Macaca fascicularis: one gene and its partners. The protein of the gene in region 2 purifies or fractionates together with the protein of the main gene of each other region. This does not show direct contact. Links are inferred from orthologs where the notes say so. Each region holds a gene or a part of one and is shown on either strand. Other genes may lie near its edges.

Region 1 (7,965 bases), on a different chromosome or scaffold from region 2:
AACATCTTCATTACCATCTTGAGCTTTCTATGAGCTACCCAATACCTAGCACATAGTGGGTGTTCAGTAGCCCCTGAATTTAAGGCCAATTTAGATTGAATTTTTATCTCTTTGAGGAAACTCATCTATTCATCCATATATCATTCCTACATTTTGAAATGTGACATATTTAAGAAAATTCAGGCATAAAGTATTAGAGCCTGGAGAGCCAGGCTTCCTGGGTTCAAATGTGGAGTTTACTGCTTTCTAGTTGTGTGACTTTGGACAAGTCATTTAAGCTTCTAAGCGTCAGTTTCCCTATCTGTAGAATGGTGATAATAGTAACTTCCACAAAGACATGGGGCCTGGCATATAGTCCATGTACATTAAATGAATAAACAATAGCATGTGTTTTAGAAAAGACTTTCACACTGTGTTTTTCCTCTGCTCTCACACTGTAACAACACAGAAGACTACTGTGACCAAATATGTGGGGGATTTTCCCCACCAACAAGCAGTGGACAGCAGCTAAGTATCCTCCAACTCAGTTCCAGTACTATCTACACCTGGACAGTGTCAGATTCCACAAGTTGAAGGCTCAGTCCCCAAGACCCCACTCCCCACCGCTGCAAGTCTAGGCCTCCAGAACTTCCGACCAACTGGCTTCAAATTGGGGTTCCCATGTCCCCCTCTTTGGGTTTAACTTGCTGGAGCAGCTCACAAAATTCAGGGAAACACTTACTTATATGTACCAGTTTATTATAAAGGGTATTACAAAGGACATGGATGAAGAGATGTGTAGCGTGAGGTACAAGGAGTAAGGGGCACAAAGCTTCCATGCCGTCCCTGGGCACATCACCTTCCAGGAGCCTCCACATGTCCAACTATCTGGAAGCTCTCCAAACCCTGTCCTTTCGGGTTCTTAGGGAGGCTTGCTTCATTATATAAGCATGAATGATAACCATGTAGAAATGTGACTGGACAAAATGGGTATGCTCTCACTCTAACACAAGACCAGTCTATTCAGATTCTTCTTGGCCTCTGGGTGTTGAATTCCTTCCTCCAGGGCATGGGACAGGACCCTCTCTGGAATGAGGGTCTTTTGACCCACAATCAGACTAGAAACAAGGCAGGCGAAAGAAGGTCAGACAGAGATACTTTTTCCTGAGGCCTAAAGCACCCCAACATTATAACGTAAGACTGTCACAAGGGTTATGGGAGTTATGAGCCAGGAACTGTGGATGAAAACATTATATATATATATATATATATATATATATATATAAAATTGTAATATAGTATTTTTTATAAATTACAATAATTGTTAAAAAGTAACAATAAGCAAGATGGTTTGAGCCACTGAGGAATGCAAAACTCAGACTCCATTTAGAATTGATCATAAAAACAGGGAGAAAAGGGAATCACCTCTGTAGAAGGAAGAAATACAGAAGACAAAATGCAGTCTAAAAAAAGGGCTAGTGTACTGATAAATTCCATTAGAGATAAATGGAAATCCTTTAACAGTTTGTAGAACTGCTGCCAAACATTTTAATCATGTAGATCAGTTCATACTCCAGGTCATGAAGTATGAAATTTCTTCCACAATTGACAGGATGATGTGGTTAGGGAACATTACGTGCACACTTCTAAGTACAAACGGTAAGGTTTTATTCTACCCAGTTACACTACTTTATTAGTTAACATAAAATCAAACTATTAGAGCAAAATTACATATGAGTTTCATGTTTTCATTTAAAAATCGATCTTGTACGCATGATTCTAGTTTTTAATAGTGTAGTGTTCTATGCCATTGCCCATGTGGTTTCAAAAAAACACTTTAATAGGATCAATGTTAGCATTTTTCTCTATTTTTGCTTACCTTAGGAAATCCTTCCTTTTCAGCTAGTATTACTTTTTTAAAAAGAAAAAAAAGGCCTACAAAAGTCTAGAATTACTAAAAAAAGTCCTTGAAATGAACAGCCACATATTAATCACTTTTCTCCTCAGCTCAAATGTTAATTAAGCAAGTTGTAATTTAATCACTGATGTGCAGTAATCAGAATTCATTTTACATTAATCAAACATTAGAATATAATAATATTCAAAACCTGAGGCTTTCTTTTTAAGAGGAGCACTTCAGAGGGCTTTTGTACCTACCACATGTGAGGCATTAATTCAAGTTTGAGGACAATGACTCAGCTTGAAGGAAGGCGGGGTGGAGTAACATCCTACCCATTCCTTTAGGAAAAAATCTTTTCTTTCTAACTAGGGGAGAGCGAGTGAAGTGGTTGAGAACATGCCCTCAACGTTCTGAAGACATGGAGAGAGGTGTGTTACTTGTTATGCGGCTCCCTAAAAAGAAACATCAGTTAGAGGGACTTCCAGTAACTGAGGCCACCAATTTCTACTTGCGCTTTACTTTTTCTGGGAGTGGAACGGGTCAGGTTTGCTAGTATTGTGAAAATCCATGAGGAAGCATTATTTCTCTCTTCCACTTGCCTCATTCTGAGTGGAACCCCAGAACCTCGTGTAGGGCTTAGGTTTCTCTGCTGCCATCCAAGAAATTATTTTGAGCGGAGAATCTCTCACTCTCTGGCTCTTTTCTCCCAATAGTAACAATAATAATGCCTTACTTGTTAAAAGAGATGCCGTGGTTTTGAAGTATTTTCTCGGCAAACGGACACTTCATATTTGGGTGTATTAATGGAGGGAGATAAAACACACATGCAGTGTTTCCTGAACTTTTTGGCTCACATGCTTCTTTGCTCATGCACAACCTAGAGAAAACTATGGAACCAACTCCTGTGTACAGTTTCAGGGAATTCCAGGTGCCTAACAAGGTTTTCTTTTAACTACAGTTGCTCACAAAATTTACACAGTAACTTGAGACAAACGTTCACAGGAAGTAGATAAAACTTTTCAATATACCGTTAAAGTCTTTCCAAAAATCTATTAACATTATATTGTTTAGAAATTCTGTACAAGTCTACTACTATATTACCTAATAAAATCTTAAGCAAGAAAAAGGGAAAACTATCTTTTCATACTTTCAGGCCAGTGACTAACACTTCGTCTTCTATGTAGGGAGGTGCCCAATAAATACTGAGAGACAAACGGAACCGCGGAATCCCGTCCGCCAGGTCAGGGGATAAAGAGAAGCCGCAACGTCTTTACTGCACGAAGCACCCGGTAACTTACTGCCTACCCCTCACTCCTCTCTAATCTTTGGTCTCAATGGATTGCTGGGTTGGTTTTGTTTTATTCATTTTTGCTCTTTTAAGTGTTCTGAAGCAAGGAAACTTAACTTCACGTGGAGGGCCACTGTAAACTGCTGCCTCCCTTAAAAATGTATGACGGGAGAAGAGTAAGTTAAAAACATTTGGGGCCACACAGAAGGTTCTAGAAGCTCTGCAGACCCACGCTGCCACAGTCGTTAATCGCATGGAATCTCACCTCTTAACTTTTATCTCCTCTTTTTCCTGCTCCCCAACACCTAGGTAAGTTAATCAAAGTGTGGCCACCATCACGCCCTCACAGGTTTAGCTTACAATGCGTTTTCTCTTGGACAAGGGGAGAAAATCCAAGAAATAAACAAAACTACACCACGTCCATCCACAACAAATCTCAACAAGCAACTTCTGTTGCCGCAGCCTCACTGTGCCCCAGGGCCCGGCCCGCCACACGCGGCCTCCGTCCGCTAACCGCCCGCGCGGCGAGCAGAACGCCCGAGACCGCCCGCCCGCCCGCGGCTCACCTGAGCTCCAGCTGGTCCAGGCTCTCCAGCAGGCGGCTGGAGCGGTCGGCCATGGAGGAGGAGCGGCAGAAGCGCCCCTCGTTGGCTTTAGCGTTGATCTTCGCCTGAGCCATCTAAGCCTCCGACGCGGGGCAGCCGAGAGGTCACCGGCCCCTCCGGCGGCGGCGAGTGGAGCGCTCCTCGGGCTGCAGGCGTCGCCGTCACCACGCGGGCGCCCGCCCTCCCTCTGACGCCCGCGGGGGCAACCCGGGAGGACTCGCCGACACCGCGGCTGCCGCGTGGCCAAAGAAGGGCAGGCGCGGCGCCCGCGGGGCTCGGGGACGCCGGGCCTGGGAGGGGGCTGCAGCGGCTGGAATTAAGAGGTTCGCGGGCCACAGGGGCTCGAGGATGGGCCGATAGGGGCTCGGGCCTGGGGAGCGCAAGTCTCTGAGGCACGGGGAGGGGCAGACGCAGAGACTGAGCGCCTAATGTGGCCAGCGGATCGTCTGCTCCTCGGACCCAGGAACTACCCGAAGCCCGCCCGGACCCACAGACCACCCCCAGCTCCGCCCCGCGTGGCCCCGCCTCTTCGTGCAGCCTAAAAGTAACCAACTTCCCCCACACGAAGGTTCCTATCGGTCGATGGGTTGTGGGTGTATTGCTCAGTGATGGCTTCGTTTAGTTTCTTCCAGCACCCATAATTCAAAGCAAGAACAACGACATTAAGGGTCCTGTGATATAGGGAGAAAAGGTCCTTTTGTGAAACAGAAGGCAGTTAAGTGCAGCTCCTAGGCAGCCCACACTCACCTGACCTTCCTGTTACCACTTTATACTAAGATGAGAGTAACGAATGCCCGGACAACGCTGAAGCTATTAAGTAAAAAAGAAAAAGCTACTCCATCTTTCCCTATCTAGGTAGATGTAGGAAACAAAGTGAATTTACTTCATTTTTATCATTCTAAGGATTACAGGTGTGAACCACCACGCCCGGCTTAATGAAGGAGTTTTTAATTTTTGCTATTAAAATTATTCCTGTTGAGTGAGCCGAGATCTCGCCACTGCACTCCAGCCTGGGCAACAGAACGATACCTTGTCTAAATAAATAAATAAATATTCTGAGTGAAATAATTGGCATTAAGAAGTCCTCAACTTTTAATTTTTTTTTTTTTTTTTTTTTTTTGAGACCGAGTCTCGCTCTGTGGCCCAGGCTGGAGTGCAGTGGCCGGATCTCAGCTCACTGCAAGCTCCGCCTCCCGGGTTCACGCCATTCTCCTGCCTCAGCCTCACAAGTAGCTGGGACTACAGGCACCCGCCACCACGCCCGGGTAGTTTTTTGTATTTTTTAGTAGAGACGGGGTTTCACCGTGTTAGCCAGGATGGTCTCGATCTCCTGACCTCGTGATCCACCCGTCTCGGCCTCCCAAAGTGCTGGGATTACAGGCTTGAGCCACCGCGCCAGGCCAACTTTTAATGTTAACAAAAAGATGCAGTAGGCCTCTAGGTCAGGCACCAGCTGTCGGTAAAAGATGGAATAGAGCTGAGGATACAAAGATTAGTCTACTTAAAAAGTTAGGTTTTGGTCCCCTCTCCTGATAGCTCTATGCCTCTCACTGCAAGGATGTTAATGTACACGGCACAGAAAATGATAGATAATAATAGTCTAAAGCTGAACCAGCACCTTTAATCAGAGATCAAAGTCATTTAAATACTTGAACAGAGTTGAAGCCCTTAAGGCTGGATCCCAATTCCCTCTGAACTCATTCTAAATCCTAATTAACTCTTGGGGTAGGGGATTATTTGACCTTATTAAAAATACTTTATCATGACACAAACGAAAACAAAACACATTTTGTGAGTGGTTTGAAAGTCTATCAAGTGACTTTAGAATCATCCTGAACTCTTTTTCTCTCATATCCTAGATCCACCTCATTAGTAAATCCCATTAATTTTACCTTCAGAATATATCCAGATTCTTCCCAATTCTACCGCCACCATTCTGGTTCATGCTACCTGGTAAGTTAGTATCTGAAGTACTACAATACCTTCCTCTCTGGTCTCCGTGCTTCTACTCTTGCCTCTCATGTACATGTTATCTCAGTGCAGCAACTACAGCAATCCTAAATTAGGCAGATCATACCATTTATTCTCAGAAACCTTCAATCGCTCCTTACCTCGGAGTAAAAGCCAAGGTCATTAGAAAAACCTCAAGTTCATTTCCTATTACTCTCTTAGCTCATCCTCTCAGTGATACTAGTCTTCCTGCTTTTCCTTGAATATACTAAGCTCCTGTCTGGACCTTCCCCTCCTCCACCTGGAACTCTCTTCCCTATATATATTTTCATCCTCATTCCCTCACCTTCTTCAGGTTTTTGCTCAAGTTTACCTATCAGTGAGATCTTTTCTGACCACCCTATTAAAAATAGCAAGCCTCCCTGCAACTCCCTGTCCCTGCACTATTTATTCCCTTCCCTTCATTTTCCTTCGTTACATGTATCACCATCAGATATGCAGTTTTATTTGCTTGCTTACTAACATTGTACAATCTCCTTCTCTCCACCAATGTGTGCTCCACAGAGGGGTAAAGGGCTTTGTTTTGCTTACTGGTATATTCCAAGTGCTTAGAATAGTTGCTGGCACATGGTTGGTACTCAATAAATATTTTGTGACTGAATGAATTAATGAGTGAATGATGTAATGAAAAGATAAGCATCTTTGTCAATGTTAGAAACATTTACTTTTGATGATAATCCATATAACTTTCTCTAATGTTACACAGCGATTACATCTCCTTTTGTCTAAATTAAAGCCAAAGTATGAATTTTAAGATGATTTTTAATTATTTAACAGGTAGAAATACAATCAGTGACAATTATCAATTAAAACATTAAACAACCCAGTTACCTTTTCTTAAGAGTCATGATGAAATATCCCTTTCCTGTTATATCAAAAGCCTTATTCTCTACCACACACACCACAAAAGCTTCTTAATAGAGCATCAGTGTCCATGACACCTTTGTGTAGAATCTCTGGCAACAAGGAGCTGTCTCCTCTTGCCCTGCCCCCACATCTGCTTAACCACTCATCTTTCTGGAATGCCTCTTTTGCTCCTCACTATTTTGTGAGCTCCCGCAGATGTGTTTAAGGTCCAGCTCAGTGACTATCTCCTAGAGCCTTGCTTGACCACTTAACCATACAAACTAAAAGCAAAATGTGGTCATTTTGGAAAGATGATTGATAAATTCTCAAGCCACAATGTCTACTTTTAAAAAAATGCAAGCAGGGAGGAACAGAAGTGACATATCAAGAAATTAAAAACACAACTTGTAGATTGAAAAGACTATAGTAATAAAAAAATTCACTTTCACACTAAAATATTTAGTGTTACAGAGAAGGAACAAAATTCTAGCCTTTATATTTTGTCTTAAATATAAAGGAAAGCTTTATATTTATGGAAATGTTTTTAAGTTTGGTAAATAATTACTACTAAAAATTTTTAGAGATAAGACATTTCTGGTCAAATAACATGAAGCATATACACAAAGATCATATGACAAGCCCTTCTTAGTCTTCTACTTATGTCGTATTTTGTATTACTCACAATGGGGCCTCAATATTTAAGAATTAAATATGTAATACCAAATGAAGGAAACTGACAATTCAGTGAATAACTAAACTGAAGACATTCTATATGAAATAAAAATTTTAAAGAGTTAAGGAAGATTATTCCTGAGTAGGCTTTCAACATTATTTCTTGAAGATATTATGTTTACACAAATATATAAAAAAGGACTAGTATTATGAAAAATAATTTTATGCAAATATTTTGACACCATTCCCTTTAAACAGGAGATCATACAAGTCACATAAAAGTCTAAGCAGGTAAAAGGAATGGAAATTGTTTCATTTAAATTATTTCTTAAAAATTAAGGTGTATTTTTTATTTTAGCAATGTGCTGCTCTAATTAAAGCAATAATTCACATCTGCATGGCACCCACAAAGAACACTGCTGATAAAATTTTAAGTGTTTCCATGATCAGTTTCCATTACCCTCTTCTAATAAACATAAACAAAGATCTCAAAGGTAATATATAATAGTGCCACATGAGAAGTAGAATTTATGGAAAACTTGACCTATGTCACCTTTTTTATATTCATTTTCACTCCTAAAAAAATAAACTAGAATCATTTGTACAGTACAAATAAAATTAAAGAACTAATGCTATTTGGGAAACAACTATTAAGAGCTTTCCTT
Region 2 (8,179 bases):
GTTCAAGCGATTCTCCTGCCTCAGCCTCCCGAGTAGCTGGGATTACAGGCTCCCGCCACCACGCCTGGCTAATTTTTGTATTTTTAGTAGAGATGGGGTTTCACCATGTTGGCCAGGCTGGTCTTGAACTCCTGACCTCATAATCCGCCCATCTCAGCCTCCCAAAGTACTGGGATTACAGGCGTGAGCCACCGCGCCCGGCCATATATATACATATCTATGTATTTTTTAAAGACAGTATCTCACTTTGTCACCCAGCCTGGAGTGCAGTGGCATGATCACAGCTGGCTGTAACCTTCAACTCCTGGACTCAAGCAATCCTCCTGACTCAGCCTTTTTTCTTTCTTTCGTTCTTTTTTTTTTGAGATGGAGTTCCACTCTGGTTGCCCAGGCTAGAGTGCAATAGTGCGATCTCACCTCACCACAACCTCTGCCTCCCAGGTTCAAGCGAGTCTCCTGCCTCAGCCTCCTGAGTAGCTGGGATTACAGGCATGCACCACCACCACCATCCATCTAATTTTGTATTTTTAGTAGAGACAGGGTTTCTCCACGTTGGTCAGGCTGGTCTTGAACTCCTGGCCTCAGGTGATCTGCCCGCCTTGGCCTCCCAAAGTGCTGGGATTACACGTGTGAGCCACTGCGCCCGACCAACTCAGCCTTTTAAGTAGCTGGGACTACAGGTGTATGTCACTACGCCTGGCTAAATGTTTTTCTCTTTCTGTGGTAGAGATGGTGTCTCTCCATATTGCCCAGGCTTGTATCAAACTCTTGGCCTAAAGCAACCCTCCTGCCTCAGTCTCCCAAAGGTGAGCCACCACACCAGACCAAAATATACCTTTAAGAGGTAAACGTTCTGTGAGATAGTTATGTCACCCAAGTTACTAACTCATTCTATGTATTATCCACTCACGACCCAGTAAATTGATGCAAGAAATAATTTTGTTAAGAGAAATGATTTTAGGCTGTAATCTCAGCACTTTGAGAAGCCAAGGCGGGTGGATCATCTGAGGTCAGCAGTTCGAGACCAGCCTGGCCAACATGGTGAAATCCCGTCTCTACTAAAAATACAAAAATTAGCCCGATGTGGTGGTGCATGCCTGCAGTCTCAGCTACCCAGCAGTCTGAGGCAGAAGAATCACCTGAACCTGGGAGTCGGAGGTTGCAGTGAGCCGAGATGGCGCCACTGCATTCTTACCTGGGGGACAGAGTGAGACTCTATCTGGGGGGGGGAAAAAAAAGAAAGAAATGATTTTGGAATCCTGAAATACATCAGGAACTTCCATCAATCAGAGACATTACAGAGGCACAGGCAGAAGGAACCTGCCAAATTAAGCAAACAAGGGATAAAAAATCCTAGAGCCCAAGATGGAGGGCAGAAGACAAAGAGTTAACAAAACTCAAGTGGTGTCAAGAGGCAGCTGGTGAAGTTCTTGCCTATGCTTTAAAAAAGCATTTTTCAAACAGAGTACTGATCAACAGTGGGTCAGGAAATCAATTTTGTAGGTCATGACCAGCATTTTAAGAGACCAAGTGGGACAAAAAATACCAGCACACAGGGCACATAACAGTAAATACTGTTTTGCTGAATGTGTTACATGGCTGGATGCCTGTGTTGGGTTAAATGTAAGAAGTATATCATTGCAGGATTTATTTGAAAGGCCCCTATTGAAAAAAAAGACAAGCTTGAACATTCAAAATCTGTCCAACTTGTTTTTTTTCTGGAGACAGAGTCTCACTGTCATCCAGGCTGGAGGGCAGTGGAGCAATGTTGGCCCGCTGCAACCTCCACCAGCCGGCTTCAAGCAACTGTCCTGCCTCAGCCTCCCATGTAGCTGGGACCACAGGTGCACGCCTCGATGCTCACCTAATTTTTTTTTTTTTTTTTTGAGAGAGAGTCTTGCTCTGTCACCCAGGCTGGAGTGCAGTGGCACAATCTCGGCTCACTGCAAGGTCCGCCTCCTGGGTTTAAGCGATTCTCCTGCCTCAGCCTCCCAAGTAGCTGGGACTACAGGAGTATGCCACCACGCCCAGCTAATTTTTGTATTTTTAATAGAGACACGGTTTCACCATATTGGCCAGGCTGGTTTCGAACTCCTGACCTCATGATCCACCCGCCTTGGCCTCCCAAAGTGCTGGGATTACAGGCGTGAGCCACCGCCCCCGGGGCGATTTTTTATTTTTTATTTTTTTTAAATTTTTACTACAGATGGGGTTTCACAATGCTGGACAGGTTGGTCTCAACCTGACCTCATGATCCACCCACCTCCGCCTCCCAAAGTGCTGGGATTACAAGTGTGAGCCACCGCACCCAGACCAACTTGAGTATTTTCTAAACTGAAATACAAACCTCACAGTTGAAAATGAAAACAAAGTCTTGTTTATTTTCAGGAATGGCTTCCAGATGGTGGGCTCAAACACACCTGGGGTTAAATGCCAGGTCATCTGTACAGTCGCCATGTCAGTTTGCTGTCCTAAGTCAAATATTCATTCACCATCTATCTATCTGCACATACACTTCTACCATGGGTGGTGGTGATTTAAAAACAAACATTTTAAGACCAGGCAAAGTGACTCACGCTTGTAATCCTAGTGCTCATGCAGTGGGAGGCCAAGGCTGAAGGATAGCTTGAGCCTAGAAATTCGAGACCAGCCTGGGAAACATAGCAAAACCTCTGTCTCTACAAAAAATTTAAAAATTAGCCAGTTGTGGTGGCGTGTGGTTAGCTACTCAGGAGGCTGAGGCAGGAGGATCGCTTGAGGCCAGGAATTTGATGCTGCAGTGAGCTATGATCCCACCAGTGCACTTCAGCCTGGGCCACAGAACCAGACCCTGTCTCTAAAAAATAAAAAATAAATTTGGTAACAGCAGAAAGAGGTCCTTTCTCTTTTTTTCAAGACGGAGTCTCACTCTGTCGCCCAGACTAGAGTGTGGTGGCACAATCACAGCTCACTGCAACCTACGCCTCCAGGGGTGAAGCGATTCCCCTGCCTCAGCCTCCCCAGTAGCTGGGATTATTGGCATGCGCCACCATGCCCCGCTAATTTTTGTACGTTTATTACAGAGGGGGTTTCACCATGTTGGCCAGGCTGGTCTCGAACTCCTGACCTCTGGTGATTCGCCCGCTTTGGCTTCCCAAAGTGCTGGGGATTATACGTGCGAGCTACTGCACCCAGCCGAGATCCTTTCTTAAAAGTAAAAGAGCAATGTCTTATTCCAGAAAATTTTTCCTCACCTATAATACAGCCCATTTAATCCTAGACACAACTGAAGCATTATATGGGCACAAAAAGTTTATTAACTTCATTTCCACTCTTTTTAATACAGCAAGGAAGCTCGAGCTTTGCCTAAAGCAGCAACTGCTACAAGAGACCAAAGGCTCAGCTCTGGAACTCCACCAAAAAAAGGGTGGTAGTCACTAGTCCATCGAGATGTCTTACTTAAGGGGAGCGTGTGGGCAATCTTAGTTTTATGGATCTGAAGTAAGAACCAAATACCAGGTATAGTTTCAGAACTGTCACCCCGAAGTGTTATGGGCCCGGAGCGACGAGGGTAGTACTCTCGAGCAGATGATTTCTCAGATGTTGGTAGAGGTTTCTCGGAGGTTGTTTTGTTCTTTTTCTTCCGATGAATCATTATAGCTCAATGACAGCTTCCAATGGAACAAAATCTCTAGGCCTTTCACAACCACAAGCTACTGAGGACATAACCAAGTCACTGAAAGGAAGCAGCAGCCGCTTCAAACTCTGCCCCCCAAATGCTCAACAGAGGCCCATAACTTCTAGCGGTTAATCTCTGCAAATTGTCTACAACCGCCCCAGTGTAGCTAGAAATCCACCTTTCGGAAGTGTCGGTCCTCGGTCACTCGACAATCACACACACGCATACAAAAAGAGGGGGAGGGGCCGCAATACATTTGTAAACCACTGTCAGAGATGGAATTCGTTCCAAGGACTTTTGCGGCACCCTTCCCTTTACTGCATCAGCTACACTCGCTCTGTAGCTCCTCAAATCCCCGCTCAACGCTCTCCCACCCTCACATTCTCAGATGCAGAAGAGTAAGATTTGCCCCAACTGGATCTCAGGCTGCTAAGACCCAGTGTATTCCCGTCCCCGCTCCCTGGATCCGTCCAAGTTCCTCGTGGCTAAGTCCGAGCGGTTTCTCCGTCGGCTGTCTCAGATCTCCCGGAGCGCTACCTCGCGGGTGCCGACCCCGGCCCCTGGCCTAACTCCACCCCGCCCTCTGCGGCCCGCACCCTCCCCAGCATAGCCTGCAGCAGCCCCTTCGGGACACCTTCAGGGCCCGGTCGCGGCCCCTCTTCCCGCCGCCGGCCGGACTCACCCAAGCTGTGGCCTCCTCCCGGCCCTCTTCGCCCAACCAAGGGGCGATGGGCGCTCCCCGCGGCCGGCCTCTACAGATCCCGCTCCCGCCCGCCGCCCGCGGCCCTCGCCTCCCCGCCGCCGCCCCGTCCGGCTCCAGCACCCAGCTCCGGTCGCCCAGATCTGGCACCCGCCCCGCCCCCTACCGCGGGCCTGGCCTCCGCCGGTCCCCGAGCGGTCTCGGGGCCTCAGCCCGCCCCTCCCCCTTCACCTGCTCCATAGCGCAGCGCGGCCCGGAACCCCGTTGAATCGAATCCGTCCGCTCCGCGATCCCAACCGCACGCGCCGCCTTCTGGAACCTACTAGAAGCTGCCGGGACCCCGGCTCCCGCCCCTTCCTCGCCTGCTCACTGGTCGAGTACTTCTAGGGGGCTCTCTGTGCTGTTCTACTACTGGCTTGAGGTCCAGCCCATCATCTCCACTTCCCTCTCATTGGACAGCGGGGAGTGATTCCCTCAACCCTGCCTCCCCCGCACCTCAGGATTGGACGCCGCTCTATAAACCCACCCATCTCAGGCTGCACGAACGGAGGGAGGAGCGGACTTCTGCGACACAGATTGGTCTTTTGCTCTGCCAATCGTAGCCGCGCTGGCCGCGCCCATTGGTTCCGTTCGTTCTGGAAATTTCCACCTCTCCCATTGGGCTGCCGGACTCCAAGTCGGAACCGCCTTCAGAATGAGAGCGATTCCAATTGGGCGGAGGGTTGCCAACCCTCTGCGCTGATTGGTTTAAATCGCTGCCTTTCAAAAGGCTGGGTTTCGCCCCGCCCGTGGCATATGGCAGTCTCGGCCGTAGTCCGGTACTGTAGCCGTGTCTCCGGCGGCTGCGGTGCCTGTGGGTTACTTTCCATCTGGATCCCTAGTGCCGCGAGTTCCAGGCGGTCCCCGGGATCGCCAGCGGCACAGGGCCCCAGCCTTTCGCCCACGCATCGAGATGGAGGTCCTAGCCGGTCGCGCTGCGTGGTCCTCGACCGCCAGTTGCGCGCGTTGTTCAGCGCTGCGGCCTCGGCCTGGCCCTCCTGCATTCTGGCTGTTAGGTTCCAGAAATGCCACGTGACCGCGAGGGCGCTTGGGCTTGGGCTGGACAGGCAGGGGATCTCATCGCGGCGGGTGCGGCTGTTCTGCTGGGCGTCCTCAGTGGAACCGCACACCCTCTCTGAGTCGTTTGGTCCTGTAGGGCCGAGGGGAATTCGTGCGGTGTTTAGCACGCGGAAAGTACTTAGCGAAAGGGAGCTGTCCCCCAGCCCTCGTGAGTCCGATGTAAAGGAGTGAAAGAGACGAAGAGCTGAATCAGGTAGTTAACCGCCTATGAGCTGGCTAACTGTGGCCTGGTAGAGCCTTAAATCCCAGCCCCAGAAGTCAGAGTCAGGGCAGGCACCCCAAAGCGTGGAAGAGATGCACCTGCGGAGTGAAAATGCTGCTATTGCTTCTAGAGTCAGCTGTGGTTCCTGGAACAAAGGAGCCGCATGACTCGGGTCTGGCAATGGTCTTGGGCTCTGCAGTGTCCTCATCCTTCCCCCTCTCTGGGTAATGCCATCTTCCCAGGGTTTAAAGTGTGTCCTCTCTGCCAATAGCTTGTCTCCACAGCCTCATCTTTAATCCCACCTGCCCCACCCATTTTGGACACTGCAGCCAAGTTGCTGCAGACCTGCAAACCTGGTAATCCCTCACTTGAAAGTGCTGAAGGCTTTAGGGTGGGATTCAGGGCCTGTGTAATCCAACCGCCTGCTTTTTTTTTTTTTTTTTTTTTTTTTTTGAGACGGAGTTGAGTCTCACTGTCTCCAGGCTGAAGTGCAGTGGCGCCATCACAGCTCCCTGCAGCCTGGACCTCCTGAGCTCAAGCCATCCTCCCACCTCAGCCTCTCAAGTACCTGGGGTTACAGGCAGGCACCACTACGCCTAGCTAATTTTTCTGTTTTTTTTTATAGACGGATTTCTTCGTGTTGTCCAGGCTAGTCTTAAACTCCTGCTCTGTCTCTCAGGCTAGAGTGCAGTGGGGCGATCTCGGCTCCCTGCAACCTCTGCCTCCCCGGTTCAAGCAATTATCCTGCCTCAGTCTCCCAAGTAGCTAGGATTACATGTGTGCGCTACCACGCCCGGCTAATTTTTTAATTTTTAGTAGAGACGGGGTTTCCCCATGTTGACCAGGCTGGTCTCAGACTCCTGACCTCAAGTGATCCGCCCGCCTCGGCCTCCCAGTGCTGGGTTTACAGACCCAGCACTTCGCCCTGCGGTTTTGCATTTTCAATAGTGAGGCATGGTGAGAAAAGACTTAAAGAAAGCAAGGGAGTGAGATCCTTGGAAATGTGGGGGAGAACTTTGCAGGCCCATGGAACAGCCAGTGCAAAGGCCCTGGGATGGGAGCTGCCTCGGGGTAGCCAGGATGGCAGGAGGCACAGCTGCCGAGAGGAAGTAGGGGCCAGGTCCTGCAGGGTTAGAGGCCATTGCCACTCCCGAACACATTGGCAGGTTTTGAGCAGAGGAGTGTCATGATCTTAAGTTTTCTCAGGATCCCTCTGGCTGCTGTGTGGAGGAAGAGGGGAGAGTGAGAGCAGGGTTACCTCTTAGGAGGCTGTGGCAGTAATCCCAGGGAGCCAGGATGAGAGCAGAGGAGGGGACAGGAATAGGATTCTGGATGCATTTTGGAGGGAGCATGAAGGAAAGCGGGGTCAAGGGTTCCTCTGAGGCCTTGGCCTCCTCTCTTATTCATCTACATCCAATCTGTCAAGGACACCTTTCATTTCTTCTTGGCACTGTCTCCAGGCCACCACACGTGCCCACCTGACCAGCAGTGGCCTTTCCAAGCCTTCCATCTTCTCCCCAGCAGCTTCTCTCCGAATGGCCAGGTCCCATTTCCCACACACCTTTTTTTAGAGTGTGTTGCACTGCTCTGGGTGCAGGGCTGTAGCAGTGACCAGGGCAGCCCCAGATGAAGCTTCTGCTCACAGGGACCTTTTCTACTGAAAGATGATACCTAAACTCTCAGCTGTGTGATGTTAAGCAATTTGCACAACCTGTCTGTACTTCAGTTGCCTCCATCTTCAAATGGGGATTAAAAAGTGTTGACATCATAGTGGTTGTGAGGATTACATGATTTGATATTCATAAAGCACTTAGAACTTGTCAAGAAGAGGGCCTGGGGATCGCCTGAGGTCAGGAGTTCGAGACCACCCTGGCCAACATGGAGAAACCTCATCTCTGCTAAAAATACAAAAACTAACCAGGTGTGGTGGTGCACTCCTGTAGTCCCAGCTACTCTGCGGGCTGAGGCAGGAGAACCACTTCAACCCGGGAAGCGGAGGTTGCTGTGAGCCAAGATTATGCCACTGCACTCCAGTCTGGGCAACAGAGCAAGACTCTGTCTCCAAAGAAAAAAAAAACAGTGCCTGGCTACGGAATAAGAACTACATGGATTTATTAAATCAAAATCAGTGCACAAATGATAATTCTCAAGAGTGAGTGCTACAGAGAACACAAAAGTCAAGGCACAGAGAGATGACCTGGGTGGCAGGGAAGGAAAGCACTCCCAGAGGTGAGTGGTTAGTGAAGGCCTGTCAGAGATGGATCGAGGAGAAGCTTAGGGGGCACAGGGGACCACACAGGCAACAGAGGATGCAAAGGTCCTGAGGCCAGGGCAAATTCAGAATTTTTTTTTTTGAGAGGGAATCTCGCTCTGTCACCCAGGCTGGAGTGCAGCGGCGCGATCTCGGCTCACTGCAAGCTCTGCCTCCTGGGTCCAAGCAATTCTCTGCCTCAGCCTCCAGAGTAGCTGGGATTGCAGGCACCCACCACCATGCCCGGCT
Region 3 (7,393 bases), on a different chromosome or scaffold from region 2:
TGAAAGTTTAAGGAAAGGGGGTTTTCTATGAATGACCCTTTGTAACTACTCAACACTAGAATCAATTGAAATGGTATACACACACATCTATAACTAAAATTATTCATACACTTACATGTTTTTGAATCACCTTTTAAAAAAATTGAGACTGGGTCTCATTCTGTTGCCTAGGCTAGGTAGAATGCAATGGAGCGACCATAGCTCAACTGCAGCTCAACATACCTGGTCTTAGTCTACTTTATTTTTGAGAGGTTCTCACTTTGTTGCCCAGGCTGGAGCACAGATCTCACTGCAACCTCCACCTCCTGGACTCCAGCGATCCTCCCGAGTACAGCACCATGCCTAGCTAGCTAATTTTTGTGTTTTTAGTAGAGTTGGGGTTTTGACATACTGGCCAGGCTGGTCTTGAACTCCTGGAATCAAGCCATCCACCTACCTTGGCCTTCCAAAGTGCTAGGATTACAGGCATGAGCCCACTGCGCCCAGCCAGCTTAGTCAGCTCTTTAATTGGTGAAGTTTAGCATCCTGCGATTTTTTGAGACAGGGTCTCACTTTGTCGCCCAGGGTGGAGTGCAGTGGCACAAACATGACTCACTGCACCCTTCATCTCCCTGGCTCAAGCAATCATCCTGCCTCAGCACAAGTAGCTGGGACTACAGGTGTGCACCACCACATTGGACTAATTTTTGTAGAGACTAGGGTTTTGCCATGTTGCCTAGGCTGGACTCAATGCACTTGCCTTGGTCTCCCAAAGTGCTTGGGATTACAGGCATGATCTACAGCACGCAGCCTAGCATCCTGATTGACATTAAATCAAATCTTGGTAATGGAAAGTGGCTTAATTGTTCAGATACGCCCTTATATTAAATTTTGTGAAGATTAGTGAGGCTCTCTGCCATTATGAAAATAAAGATGCACTGAAGAGTAATGGAATAAGCTATGCTTATCCATGCTAGCATCCCAACAGACATCTCATTTTAATAGTCCTCATACTATAAAAATGAGCGAGATTACACATTAACATGTTAACCAATGAAATTACTAACGTCTTTTGTTAGGATAACATCACACTGAATTTGGTCTAAACAATGCAAAAGGCAAATACAATGTATGAAAACATATACAAACCGAGTATTTGTTTGTTATAGGTACTTCAGAAGAATTCATTTCTATCCCCTCCCCAATAAACTTGTCCAATTACTTTGTTCTAAATTAATGTTTGGGAATGAGATCTTGATACTAGCTTCACAGTTCATCCAACCTAGGACACTTAGCCTAAGAGTATCTATTCAAATTTGCATCAGTTGGTGAACTGATGGGCCCTGAAATCTTAATTAAATCTAGAGTTCAAAGCCCCTGCAAGAAAAATCAAGTGAATTCTTACTCCCCCTTCAATTGTTTGTAAAACATCTCAATCATCTCTAGATGTAATATATTTTTTCTCAGTCATACATATCAAGACTTGATTAAGTTTGGATTTTGTTTAAAAAGCCTTTATTCATTTTTTGATCAGGGAAAAGGACAATCTCAATGTCAACTTGTCACCTAATCATAAATTTGAACTTACAGGATTCACTACCCTAGACACTGCACCTGACAACACAACCTAAAAATGAACTTCCTTCCATTCCCTAAAGTTGCATGTTGAATGAACAGAATCCCTTCTAACAACCAACACTGGTACTTGGCCTAGGTGTGTGTGAGAACAAATAGCAAAACAGCAGCAAAAAAAGGCCAAGAGCATTATAACGTGATAGCCCAAGAAGTATAATCATTGTAACCAAGTTGTAAGCACCAAATTAAAAAAAAAAAAAAAAAAGGGGCTCATCAGCATAAGAAACACGTTTTGTGAGATCACCCGTGTGAGATCAACTACTCTGCCTGTGAACACATCTGCCAATCCCAGTAGCTAACACTGAGGCAAAGGTCCCAAAATCCAACTACACTGAATGCAAAATTCAAAGCTTTTATTTATTCCAGGTCTTCTCAAACCTGGATATAAAACGGCTTTTCAGTGCACCCAGAGGGTCCACTGTAATGACTCAAGTCACATTTGGATTGACACACCTAAGATACCTTTTCCACTATTCCTATGTCTGAATATGGAAATGTCTAACTACTCAGTTCATGCACTGTTAAAAACTAGATTTACTATCAAGACTTTTTCTAAACTCACACAGCATTAATAGCTAACTGTAATACAATTTCCTCAGAATGCCCAAACAGAAAACATGTTGTTCAATCTTGTGGTGACTGCGAGAAAACAACACAACTAAATCTTTTGCCACTATTTCAAATTTTAATCTAACTTTTGACCACACTCATACCTTTCTACCAAAATCCTTGAGTTATAACTACTTTAAATGCTCTTAAACCATAGATCCTACCAGTTTTACAGTGCTCCTGTGTGCATCTGAATTTTTATCAAGAATTAAGTGATTGTGTTATGATTACAAAGCTTTTACCAGGTGACCACTGATTAAAGCCAAAGTAATTAGCGATTCAAAAATGGCTTTCCAGAGACAGGCACAAAGTAAAAGGAGCTAACAATTTTATTACAATCCAGAAGAAACATGGTCTACTAGAAAGCTTCTACTAATCACAACACTTACGTCTTCCTCTCAGGACAGTCTTCAGATAACCAGAGGGGAAAGAACATTGTTCAAAGGTGTGGTAGAAACCTCACTTAACAGGGAGAAGATGAAGCCTTAAGAGCATAGAATACACCTACAAATTGGGGAAGAGGGTGATGCTGGCTGGCTATTTATAAAGGACCACAGTTTCTCCGTATGAACCAATACTCTCTACAAAATCAACTGTGCCTTAATTATTGCTTATTTTAAATTACATTTTTACAGAGCTATGTAGTACCTGACGCAAAAAAGCAATCACATAAGGAAGCATTTATTTGAAGTTTAACATGAAATGATACAAATAAAATGTGTATAAACAAATCCACATTGAGTCATAACACAGATAGCAAAGGACAAAGTAAAAACAAAGAAAACTAATTGGCAGCTATATACAGTTGGACACAATCGTGTCTTGTACACTAGAAAGTCTTTTACAAAATAATCATCTTAGATCAACAGAAGACCAATCTTCAATGTCGTCCTGCAAGATGGGTTACTTTAACATCTCCTCCTAAAAACAAAAACAAAATACCAATTAGATTTGTGCAACTCTGACAAGCTTTTAAAGGTCCACTTTCATGAACTGTTTTAAGTCCTCACTTTATTCTTTTCTTCAATAATTAAAGATCATATGCATATTTATTGGCAAAATACAGTTTGGTTAGTCAATAAACTCACCCTGGAGTTCCCAAATAATAATAAATTCAAATCTATTCAGGAAAGAATCTGGGAATACAATCTTCCCATATTCACAGGTTCAACTATGCTAGATTAAGGTCTACTAGAAGCATCTCTAGTAACCCAAGTAAAATGCTATCACAAACACCAATTTCTAATAAGCTTATTACAAGAACATAAATTGAATTGTGCATATGATCTTTAATTTATATCCCAGATTTAAAAGTTCTTGTTTTGGTTTGTAGATTTCACTATTAGCTATAAAAAGAAAAAGCAAGCATTAAATCTTAAAAGAATGAACACTTAAAATGAGGCTCCACAATTGAAATACAACACTAAACAGAAGACCAAAATGATTAAGCTGTAAAAAGGCATTTATGTATTTTAACTCCTGTAAAAAACCATTTAAGTTAAGTTTAGACACTTAATCTCCAAAAAGATTAAAAAAGAAGCCAAAGTCTGAAGTTTTCCACTTTAATCTTTACGCTGGTACATGAAGTTGGAAGAGACCATACCACAGGACAGCGTTTTCTGGTGTATGCCTTGCGCTCTGCCCGCAACGTGCGACCCCCAGAGATAGACGTGGTCAGGGTGACACACGGCCTGCAATGAAGTTCCCGCTGGCGGGTACAAACAAGGTATAATGTCAGAGTTAGAAGACAACATTCTTGTTTTCCTTAAGTTGTACCCATTTCAGTACTTTACCTGTTAATAGTTCTAAAATGTTTAATTATTCCTCTAGACCACCTGGTACACAAAAGCAAACAGAAAAACTCTTAAGTTTTTCTGCAATACTAAAGAAAGTGAGATAAGACTTTAAAGTTAAAGATCTATAGACACTTTAGGCAAAACAGGCTCATAAAGCAATTAAAAAAAATCAACAATTTAGTAAGAACAAGCTACATAGTATTTTGTTTTTACGTTTGTCTATTGATCTTTAAATTAAATTAGACATTTCTACTGTTTTCCTGTACTCTTATACACACCTGTTTTCTCCAATGTTCTCCTTTAGTATGGCTGGTAATTGTTTTGGTGATTGCCACCCCCTCGAGATGCCTTGCCATAAGTGCTCTGTTGACCTATTTTGAAAACACAGAAATTTCATTAAGATAGTTTTCTACAAAACTGTTTCTTTACAAACACACTGAGAAATGATTAAATCTACAAATCTTTGCATGCTAAATAAAAAGTATTAAAATATTAAGATATTTTAACACCCATTATAAGCTAGTCGTAAATCATACATCCTAGTTCATTTATAACCACCAGACTATGTTAGTATAATCACCCTATGATTGTAACATGCCTCAAACACTTAACTCCAAACAGAAAGCCCGTACACACAATTTCAGAACAGGATTGTATGTTAACAATGAATTTTAATACCACTGGTTTATAAAATTAAGTTAAATATTCTTACCACTGTAGTCTGCATATCCCTGTCCATATCCATAGTTCCCATAGTTATACCCAGTATAATCATATCCGCCATAGCCACTATAGTTTTGATCACCACCATAGGCACTATTGTAATTTCCATATCCTTGATCATAATAGTTATTAAATCCTTGGTTCCAGTTTTGGCCCTGACCTGAAACAATGCACAATGATTGTTAGGAAACAACTTCTGACCCCCAATTCTAACATAAAATGATGCGTTCTTGTCTCTCACTCTGCAAATCTTAAAGGGCAGAATGGACATATATAGCACTATCTGCTTGAAAAACTATTCTTCCAGCTGTTATTAAAAAAGGGGGGCAGAAAGTCCAATTGTGCCAGTATCAAACTTCCTAAATTTAATGGAAAATCATTCAATTTTCCATTAAAGCTGAAGACAGGTATACTGTTCTGTTTAAAACAAGGACTCCTGCCCAAGAAAACCCATCACGCCATGGCGCATCATGTAATGGTACACTTTTCCTGTCAGTGATGACACTAATTGTCAAAATGGCCATACTTTTAACAGTTTTTTGAAACCAGTGAGCTCACAACAAAAACCACCACACACAACCCCCACTAAGCTGAACATTTTCCTCCCGCTGGAATTGTTTTAAGTTTAAAGTTTTAGTTTCGTACAGGACTACTCATATTTAGCAGTATACAGCTTAAACCATGGAGTCATATTCCAAGAATTAAGTCTCACCTCGGCCACGACCCCTCGTACCACCTCGGCCACCAGCCGCAGCACCTCTTCCACCTTTTTGTTGTTGCTGTTGCTGCCTATATACCTCTTTGGGTTGTGCAACTTTGATTTCACACTATAAACAAATTAAAAAACACGAAAATAGAATTTTTACTCAAGTTCTAAAATTTAATCATTTTATTTTTCTCAAACACATTGAGAAATTTCAAAAACTAAAAGATAAAAAAAAAAAAAGAAAAAAGAAATCCTTAAAATTTTCATTTAAAGTACTTAAATGGCTTTACCTTCCCAGAACCAATTTGATGGTATCTGCTTTCTAACAATTTTTTTACTGGCTCTTCATCGGTGTATGTGATAAAACAAAATCCTCTTCTCTCATTTGTTTTTGTATCCATGGGAAGTTCAATATTTTCAATCTGAAATCGAGATGCACACTCAAGGTCATCCCATAATTATAAAATGCTACCAGAGTGTCAGAATGCCACAGGTACTTTTCAGGCTTCAACTTAAACATGTTATTCTTATCAGGTGACTTCTATACAGACATCACTGCTTTATGATCAACATCAGCCTTCAGTGATTTGTTGTATATTTGAAGCATTGAGAGAAAAGTAAAACATCCTTTAATATTATTTTGTACCCCAAAGATGCCACTAACTAACAAGTCCAAACACCGACCACATTTAAGTGCCCATGTTTTGGCTAAATTAAGATAGTTGGGTTTCCATCAGAGCAGCAATCAAATCAAGGTACAGTCCCTGGAAGCGACTTGAGCAGTCATTTAATCCTACCCTCACACGAAACATGAATCTGCCCTGTATAAATCGGACCAGGATTAAACATTTTATAAACACATCAAGCTTAACATGTGTAAACATAATCACACACCTCTCCAAAGGCTCCAAAATATTCTTTAATTTGTTCTTCAGAAGTATCCGGGCTCAATCCACCCACAAAAACCTTTTTGGGGGGTTCTTTCCCTTTTAAAGCTTTGGCCCTTTTGGGATCTATCAATTTGCCATCCAGTTTGTGTTCTTTCAGTTCCAAAACCTACAAGACAGATTTATTTAATCTGACAGCAGCATATAACCCCCAGAAAAATGTGCAAAACACTACAAAAGCAGCACAATGCAAAACACAGTTCCTACCTTATCAACACTAGCAGCATCTTTGAAAAGCACAAATCCAAATCCTCTTGATCTCCCAGTGACTGGATCTGTTTTAATTGTGCAGTCTACAACTTCCCCAAATCGAGACAAATACTCTGTCAGATCTTTTTTGCTTGTATCCCAGCTCAAGCCTCCAATAAACATTTTACTAGAAATAAAAGGTTTTTTAAAAAATTAACAGTAACTCAAATGATCCTTCAGTTCTGGAATTAAATCGTAGAATAAAAACAGGAACATTTATCCCCTAAGTGTAAGCAATTTAATCCATGTTTACATTTAATCTATGTCACACAAAAATCCCAATATCCCAACAAAGTTACTCAAACCAGCGGACAGCTCGCTCTCCGCACTACATAAAGCAAAACTCAAAGGAGACCAATAAAATATAGTAAAGGTTCTGCCCAGATTGCTTCAGCTACAAGGCCCAACTTCCTAGATGAATCCCTCACATCTTATCTTAGGTCCATCCTCGTCCTCAGCTGTCAAGCCAACGTTCCACCCAGAGAACTCATCAATCATAATACGTTTTGTGAATCTGGGTACCAGTCGCCTGCTTGTGCCCGAACTCAGAGTCCTCTAAAACTCTTCCCAGGAAAACCGCGCCGAGTGGTAACAGAGACACAATGAAGAGGCGTCGGCAGCTGCAGCGAGCGGCGCTGGGAGGCCGGCCCCTCCCCCCCGGGTCCCACGCGGCGCCTGCGCGCTCGGGACAGAGACGCCGCCGCCCTCCTCCTCCAACCCCTCCGCCCTTCCCCCACTCTTCCCGGGTC
Region 4 (6,819 bases), on a different chromosome or scaffold from region 2:
CCACACGCACCCTACTCAAACTCAGATAAAATACACATTTGTTCATTAAAGCTCACCTGCTTTAGATAATTTTTTCTCTTCACACATTAGCACAGTAAGCCAATGTTTGATCCATGCTGCAAAAGCTATACAAAACGAAAAGCCCTGATAACTCCCTAGGGAAATCTTAAGGCAAAGCAAAAGCAAAACCCTTATGCTACAAAAGTAAAACAAAAAGCAGAGGCATTGGGACTGTGGAGACGGCTCAGATGAATAAGCACCACAAGGATGAAGAAAACAATTTTTGTAGAAACATATGCAAGAAGATAAAGTCCAAAAAAGAACATAAAACATCAATTATCCTGCAGAAATAATTATCACGTCAGGTAACTTGACTAGTGAAATAAGCTCTGTTTGGATTTTAATTAACAGAATCTTAATTCTCTCCTACATTTACCAGTAGTATCAGAGCCTTGGGTTGGGGGCTCGTTTCTTCCTTTTTTCATCGTAAGACCTTTAGTCGGAGACCTGCCCAACAATTCCTGTAGAAGACAATCTTGGTGTGTTTTAGATCCTTCTTTGGAAAGCTGTCATCTTCCTTTCCACCTAAACACTAACTCTACCTCTGCGCAGTCACTTCATGTTTTTGTGTTGTACTGGAACACATTTTTTAGCATGGAGATTTGTTTAAGGCTACAAACTTTACAAGTTGGTCCCATCAAACAATGACTACAAGGCAGAAGTTTATCAAATGGCATGAATCAAACACTTGCACATTTCGAAAGAATACAGTTTACATTCATCTCGAAATCTGAGATTAAGAAACTATTAGCTGGTTTCCAACTGCTTTCAATACTGGTTTGAAGTTTGAATAATTTTACTGTATAGATATTAAATATTTTGTTTAAATATTAAACATTAAATATTTTCCTGACTATCCAGACAGAAAGAGAAAGCAGGAACAGGCAAAGAAGTAACAGTCCAATTAACAGACTTGTGACTTCTATGCCATCTGTAACAAGGGGAGGGATTTCAGTAAGGGTTCCAAAAACGCCTAGAAGGTGGTTTCTAAAAATTCACCTTTATGTGGCATAAGCCATTTTTTTTCTATAAAAGGTATCTGATTCCTACAAAGGGGGAAGAAACCCAGAAAACAAAACTGGGGTGGTGTCCTGTTGTGATGGAAGGGCATTATACCATTACACTCATTTAATAACTTATAGTGGATACTCTGTAGCAATAAAGAAACTGTCATTTTATTTTGCCCTATCAGCCCCTGCCACACAGAAGAGCTCTTCCTGAGAAACTACAAATTTCAAACCTGGCTATCCTCAAAGGACACCTGAAGCCTGGTTTAGGTACTCAAGAAGATGAAGGCTTCCTGCTAGCAGGAAGCAATTCTCCACTACCTTTTAGGCTTACTGCACAAGTCTCAGCACCAGTCAAATTGGCTGTTTTAGTAAACCTCAATGTCACCTGCTCATATATTTTCAGCTAATCATTCACTGTTTTCTAAATTAACATTTAAAAGTAACTTGCTGGCTGTGCACCGTGGCTCACGCCTGTAATCCCAGCATTTTGGGAGGCTGGGGTGGGCAGATCACCTGAGGTCAGGAGTTCGAGACCAGCCTGGCCAACATGGCGAAACCCGGTCTCTATTAAAAATACAAAAATTAGCTGGGCGTGGAGGCGGGCACCTGTAATCCCAGCTACTCAGGAGGGTGAGGCAGGAGAATTGCTTGAACCCGGGAGGTGGAGGTTGCGGTGGGGGAAAAAAAAAAAACTTGCTAATACAAGTATAACTTTTTAAAAAATTACTAAAGTTATCAATGCTGGGCTTAGTTGACCAAGCACTTCCTTAGGATGAACTAAAGGATGCTTCTCCCATAGGCAAATTGCAGATGGGTTACATCAGTCTTTTAACTATCATTGAAAGTCAATTAATTTGTAAACATTACTGAATAACTGGGCTTATCAATTACGCAAGGGAAACCAAGGAGTAACAGTGGCACAAGGCAAAAAAGCCTTGAAGGAAAAACTTTCTCTATTATTTTCATAGTCAAAGAGGAGAGCCACAATACTACTGGCTATCAACGAGCTATATTGAATTGATAACTAAATTACAAGTTGCTAAGAAATTAGATTTCTTAGCAACAGGCTTAAGCTACTGCTCTTTTCCCTCCTCCCCAATTAGATATAGGCACCACTGTAAACAGCTCATATCTACACACTAAACTGTGACTTAACTGTCAGGATACAGCTGTAGTAGGAGCATCCTTCTTAATCATCTTTTTTGAATTCAAGGAGAATATTCTCCAAGTGTCTGAATAGTTTAGACAATGTGATATATGATTTAAGTCACCCTTACACATACAGCTTCTATACTTGTCTTTGAAGAGGCTGTAATCTTCGAAGAAACTGTAAACCAACATTCCTTTAATAAGCCCCACAGAAAACTGCTTTTCCCTTGAGACAAACTTCCTTGGCAAAAAGTTGAAGTCAATAAATGGCTACCCAAAATGAGAGTCCCACCCCCAAATCACAGGTGGAGATATTATTACACCCGTTTCATAAAACTTTCAAGTCCCTATACTATGCAAAGAGTCTCATAACTGAACACAGGATTCTTCTAACATTTGACAACTTTAGTGTAGAAATTGGTTTCTAGAGTTCCATCTCTTCTTCTGTGCTAGTAGCTGTCTCCAAACTATTATAAAGAGACATCCCTGGTTGCCGAGGTTCCAAGAACAGTTCAGTTCTCTGAGGGAAGGCAGTGCCAGCAGCTGCATGCTTAGCTTGGCTCTCTCCTGTATAGTTCTTAGTATTAGAGGATGGCTTTGGCTTATCAGAAAGGAGTTCAGGGAGGGGTTTCCAGAGAACAAGCTCCATGGAAGGACGGCTCCTAAGACATAAAATACAGACTTTTATCAAAAAATTTTAGGACATGAAAACAAAAGCTATAGGTTGAAAAGCCAACATTACCTAATACCTTAAGGACTGATGGTAGCAAAACAGGATATTTAGAACACACAAACTGATCTTTACTTTCTTTTTTTTTTTTTTTTTTTTAAAGAGATGGGGGTCTTGCTGTGTTGTCCAGGGTGGAGTACAGTGGCACAGTCATAGCTCACTGCAGCCTTTAACTCCTGGACTCAAGTAATCTACCCACTTTAGCCTTCCCAGTAATTAGGACTACAGGCACATTACCACCATGCCTGGCTCCAACTGATCTTTAGAAACGCCCCTCAAATACATAACACTGCACACTTCAACATGTATATCTAACCAAATCAAGTGGATGTAATGATGCTGTGATGGGAAGTATCTAAAAATCCAATGTGAAAACACAGAGCCCTTGATTGCTAGAAATTTTTTAAAACTGTGGTTAATATTAGATATAGGCAGCTAGCTTATACTAAATCATTATAAATGAAAAGGAAACACTGGACAAACATGCTGAAAGTATCTCAGGTGCCTTTTAGTACAGGTACAAAGTATAATGCTTTATGGGTCAGGCATGGTGGCTTGTGCCTATAATCCTATCACTTTGGGAGGCCGAGCCAGGCAGACGGTTTGAGCCCAGGAGTTTGCAACCAGCCCGGGCAATGTGGTGAACCCTGTCTCTACAAAAAATACAAAAATTAGCTGGGTGCCTGTAGTCCCAGCTACTCGGGAGGCTGAGGTGGGAGGATCACCTGAGCCCGGGAGGTCAAGTCTGTGGTGAACTGTGATCATGCCACACTACACTCCAGCCTGGGTGAGAGTGAGACCCTGTCTCAAAACACAAAACAAAGCAAAACAAAACAAGCTTCACGGTTAAGGCAAAATGACTATGTTATACACACACTGTGGCAGCGATGGTGTCTGGGCCCAAAGAGGAAGCAAAAATAAAACAAAACAATGAAATACCCCCAAAGGCTAGCTTCTGGAAAACTACCAAAAGCAGAAAGTGCTATGTTTTAGGCTGGAGGGTAACGTGACCAGCTTACTTATGGCTATTTACCCACCCTTAGGGCTGGGTAGTTAATTATAAGCTCAAGATAGGACCCTAATGCAAAACCTCTGTGATAAGACCAAATAGCAGCTGAACTTCTAGCACAAATCATCTCCCCTGTATCCAAAGGTAATAATGCCTCATCTATCTGGCCTCACTGAGACTGGTGTCCTAAGAGGTTTTTTCAGATACCTGAAACTTGCCCTCATTGGGTACCAACTCCATCTAAAGTCTTTCCTAGGCAATACCTAAATGGCACTTTATAACCAACTTCCCTACTATTTTACATAGTTAATAATGACAATTTGAGATCATGGAGGCTTCAGGGACTACAGGATTACAGGGCTGGGCTAATCATTACTCACAGGCCCCAGGCCACTTTACTTTTTAGGTTATTGTGTTTGCTTTCCAGGTTCCTCTCTTGTCCTCACAGTGTAGTCACAGCTCCCTGTTAGAAGTTTTGTTTGTTCTGCTCTCATTTGCTGTTTCTGCTTCTACTCTGATGATCTAGGAAACCAGATAACTGAGCTCATAAACTGTGTTTAGATTAAAAGCAAAACAGCTCTGCTAAAGGCCTGGAAGGACTATGCTAATGAGCCAAGAATATGAGCTTTGTTTTGCAGTCTTTGCAGTAACTACTTTCACTGATGGGCCACTTTTTTTTTGTTTCCTAGGCCTCAATGTTGTTCCTGGGTAATTTAGAAAGCCGGGTAAACAGGAGCCTTTGAAATGTGGTTCCTATATCCTATCACAAGAACTTGAGAGAGTGGGCTCTCTTGCCAGTCATCCCATTTCCAAATAGCAGACTACAGTCCATTTTAGGTCTTCAAAGGAACGAAAGAGTAAGTAGGCAAGGCAGCCACTTCCCCATACTTCAAACTTCTGCTTATAAAGCACTTTGCTCAACCCAATGAACTAGGAAAAAGCCAATCTCCGATTGCCTGGTGATCAGGAGATAAAAAGAGCTGACGAGGACAGGATGGGCAGAATCTAGACACTGGGTTTTCCCTGCAAGATCATAAATAAATAGAAATCAGGTACCAAAACTTACATAGACTCAATCATTTTCTTTGTAAAAACTTCATCAAATTCCCTCTTCAAACCTGTTTTCATGGTATCAGAAAGGACAAGACTGGGGAGATGGTTAACATTTCTGTCAGCTTCAACTTCTTCATCTTCATCAATTATCCTAAATCAATTAAGGCATCAGCAGAAGAAAAAATATTTAGACAAGCTATTATATATTCTAGTATTTAGACAAAATTTTAAAAATACAAAAGGATAAAAGCAGTAAGTAATACAGCAATAGACTAAGCAAAAAATGAGGCTATACCTGAGTATAAAAGGTATACTCAGGCTGGGCGTGGCAGCTCACACCTGTAATCCCAGCACTTTGGGAGGCTGAGGCGGGCAGATAACCTGAGGTTAGGATTTGGAGAAGAGCCTGGCCAACATGGTGAAATCCCATCTCTACTAAAAATACAAAAATTTGTCGGGTGTGGTGACACATCCCTGTAATTCAGCTACTCAGGAGGCTGAGGCAGGAGAATCACTTGAACCCAGGAGGTGGAGGTTGCAGTGAACCAAGATTGTGCCATTCTACACCAGCCTGAGCAACAGAGCAAGACTCCGTCTCGAAACAAAAAAACCTATACTCAGGGGGTTGTTCAACATTTAACAAAAAAGTTTTACATATAATCAAATCTGAATGTTTTTCAGAGAATTATCACATAAACCAAAATTAATATTCAGAGACAGTAAGTGAAAACACTTAGCAGTTCTATGAGAATTCACTTTAAAAGCACATACTTCATGGCTGGGCACGGTGCCTCATGCCTGTAATCCCAGCACTTGAGAAGCCGAGATGGGCAGATAACCTGAGGCCAGGAGTTCGAGACCAGCCTGGCCAATATGGTGAAACTCTGTCTTTACTAAAAATACAAAATTAGCCAAGTGTGATGGCAGGCACCTGTAATCCCAGCTACTCAGGAGATTGAGGCAGGAGAATTGCTTGAACCTGGGAGGCGGAGATCGCAATGAGCCAAGATCACACCACTGCACTCCAGCCTAAGCGACACAGCGAGACTCTGTCTCCAAAAATAAAAATAAAAATACAAAAATAATTAGCCAGGTGTGGTGGCAGACACCTGTAATCCCAGTTACTCAGGAGGCTGAGGCAAGTGAATTGCTTGAACCTGGGAGGCAGAGGTTGCAGTGAGCTGAGATGGTGTCATTGCACTCCAGCCTGGGCGACAGAGCGAGATTGTTTCAAAAAAAAAAAAAAGGCTACAGTATACTGGCCCAGCACAGTAGCTCACGCCTGTAATCCCAGCACTTTGGGAGGCTGAGGCAGGCGGCTTGCTTGAGCCCAAGAATGCATGACCAGCTTGGGCAACATGGTGAAATCCCATCTCTATAAAAGACACAAAGATTAGCCAGGGGTGGCGGTGCATGCTTGCAGTCCCAGCTACTCGGGAGGCTGAGGGGGGCAGATGTGTTGAGCCTGAAAGGTCAAGACTGCAGTGAGCCACTGCACTCCAACCTGGGTGACAAAGCAAGACCCTGTCTCAATTAAAAAAAAAAAGGGGTGGGGGGCGGGTTGGCTCATGCCTGTAATCCCAGCACTTTGGGAGGCTGAGACGGGTGGATCACCTGAGGTTATGAGTTCGAGACCAGCCTGACCAACATGGAGAAACCCTGTCTCTACTAAAAATACAAAATTAGCTGGGCTTGGTGGCGCATGGCTGTAATCCCAGCTACTCGGGAGGCTGGGGCAGGAGAATCGCTTGAACCCAGGAGGCGGAGGTTGCACTGAGCCAAGATGGTGCCATTGCACTCCAGCCTAG

The links.
Region 1: the proteins of STIP1 (region 2) and BAG2 purify together in Homo sapiens (affinity purification with mass spectrometry; 3 studies listed by BioGRID and IntAct, with this or other methods). This does not show direct contact. The link is inferred for Macaca fascicularis from reciprocal best matches to the Homo sapiens genes STIP1 and BAG2.
Region 3: the proteins of STIP1 (region 2) and HNRNPDL fractionate together in Homo sapiens (co-fractionation; 3 studies listed by BioGRID, with this or other methods). This does not show direct contact. The link is inferred for Macaca fascicularis from reciprocal best matches to the Homo sapiens genes STIP1 and HNRNPDL.
Region 4: the proteins of STIP1 (region 2) and CCDC117 purify together in Homo sapiens (affinity purification with mass spectrometry; 5 studies listed by BioGRID and IntAct, counting the BioPlex papers as one, with this or other methods). This does not show direct contact. The link is inferred for Macaca fascicularis from reciprocal best matches to the Homo sapiens genes STIP1 and CCDC117.

What each region holds. Positions count from the first base shown.
Region 1 is NC_088378.1:114,544,869-114,552,833, forward strand, and holds the start of BAG2 (BAG family molecular chaperone regulator 2), read right to left. Parts: upstream 4,221-7,965; 5' UTR 3,847-4,220; coding exon 3,734-3,846; intron 3,684-3,733; exon of another isoform or gene 2,137-3,683; intron 1,098-2,136; exon of another isoform or gene 725-1,097; intron 1-724. UniProt on the Homo sapiens protein: Co-chaperone for HSP70 and HSC70 chaperone proteins. Acts as a nucleotide-exchange factor (NEF) promoting the release of ADP from the HSP70 and HSC70 proteins thereby triggering client/substrate protein release.
Region 2 is NC_088388.1:10,208,884-10,217,062, forward strand, and holds the start of STIP1 (stress-induced-phosphoprotein 1), read right to left. Parts: upstream 4,657-8,179; 5' UTR 4,599-4,656; coding exon 4,590-4,598; intron 4,456-4,589; exon of another isoform or gene 4,341-4,455; intron 3,696-4,340; exon of another isoform or gene 3,496-3,695; intron 1-3,495. UniProt on the Homo sapiens protein: Acts as a co-chaperone for HSP90AA1. Mediates the association of the molecular chaperones HSPA8/HSC70 and HSP90.
Region 3 is NC_088379.1:51,443,372-51,450,764, reverse strand, and holds the end of HNRNPDL (heterogeneous nuclear ribonucleoprotein D-like), read right to left. Parts: intron 6,772-7,393; coding exon 6,603-6,771; intron 6,505-6,602; coding exon 6,343-6,504; intron 5,871-6,342; coding exon 5,739-5,870; intron 5,570-5,738; coding exon 5,455-5,569; intron 4,903-5,454; coding exon 4,732-4,902; intron 4,391-4,731; coding exon 4,320-4,390; 3' UTR 4,298-4,319; intron 3,932-4,297; exon of another isoform or gene 3,145-3,931; 3' UTR 2,889-3,144; downstream 1-2,888. UniProt on the Homo sapiens protein: Acts as a transcriptional regulator. Promotes transcription repression. Promotes transcription activation in differentiated myotubes. Binds to double- and single-stranded DNA sequences. Binds to the transcription suppressor CATR sequence of the COX5B promoter.
Region 4 is NC_088384.1:22,881,824-22,888,642, forward strand, and holds part of CCDC117 (coiled-coil domain-containing protein 117), read right to left. Parts: intron 5,163-6,819; coding exon 5,025-5,162; intron 2,882-5,024; coding exon 2,644-2,881; 3' UTR 1-2,643. UniProt on the Homo sapiens protein: Facilitates DNA repair, cell cycle progression, and cell proliferation through its interaction with CIAO2B.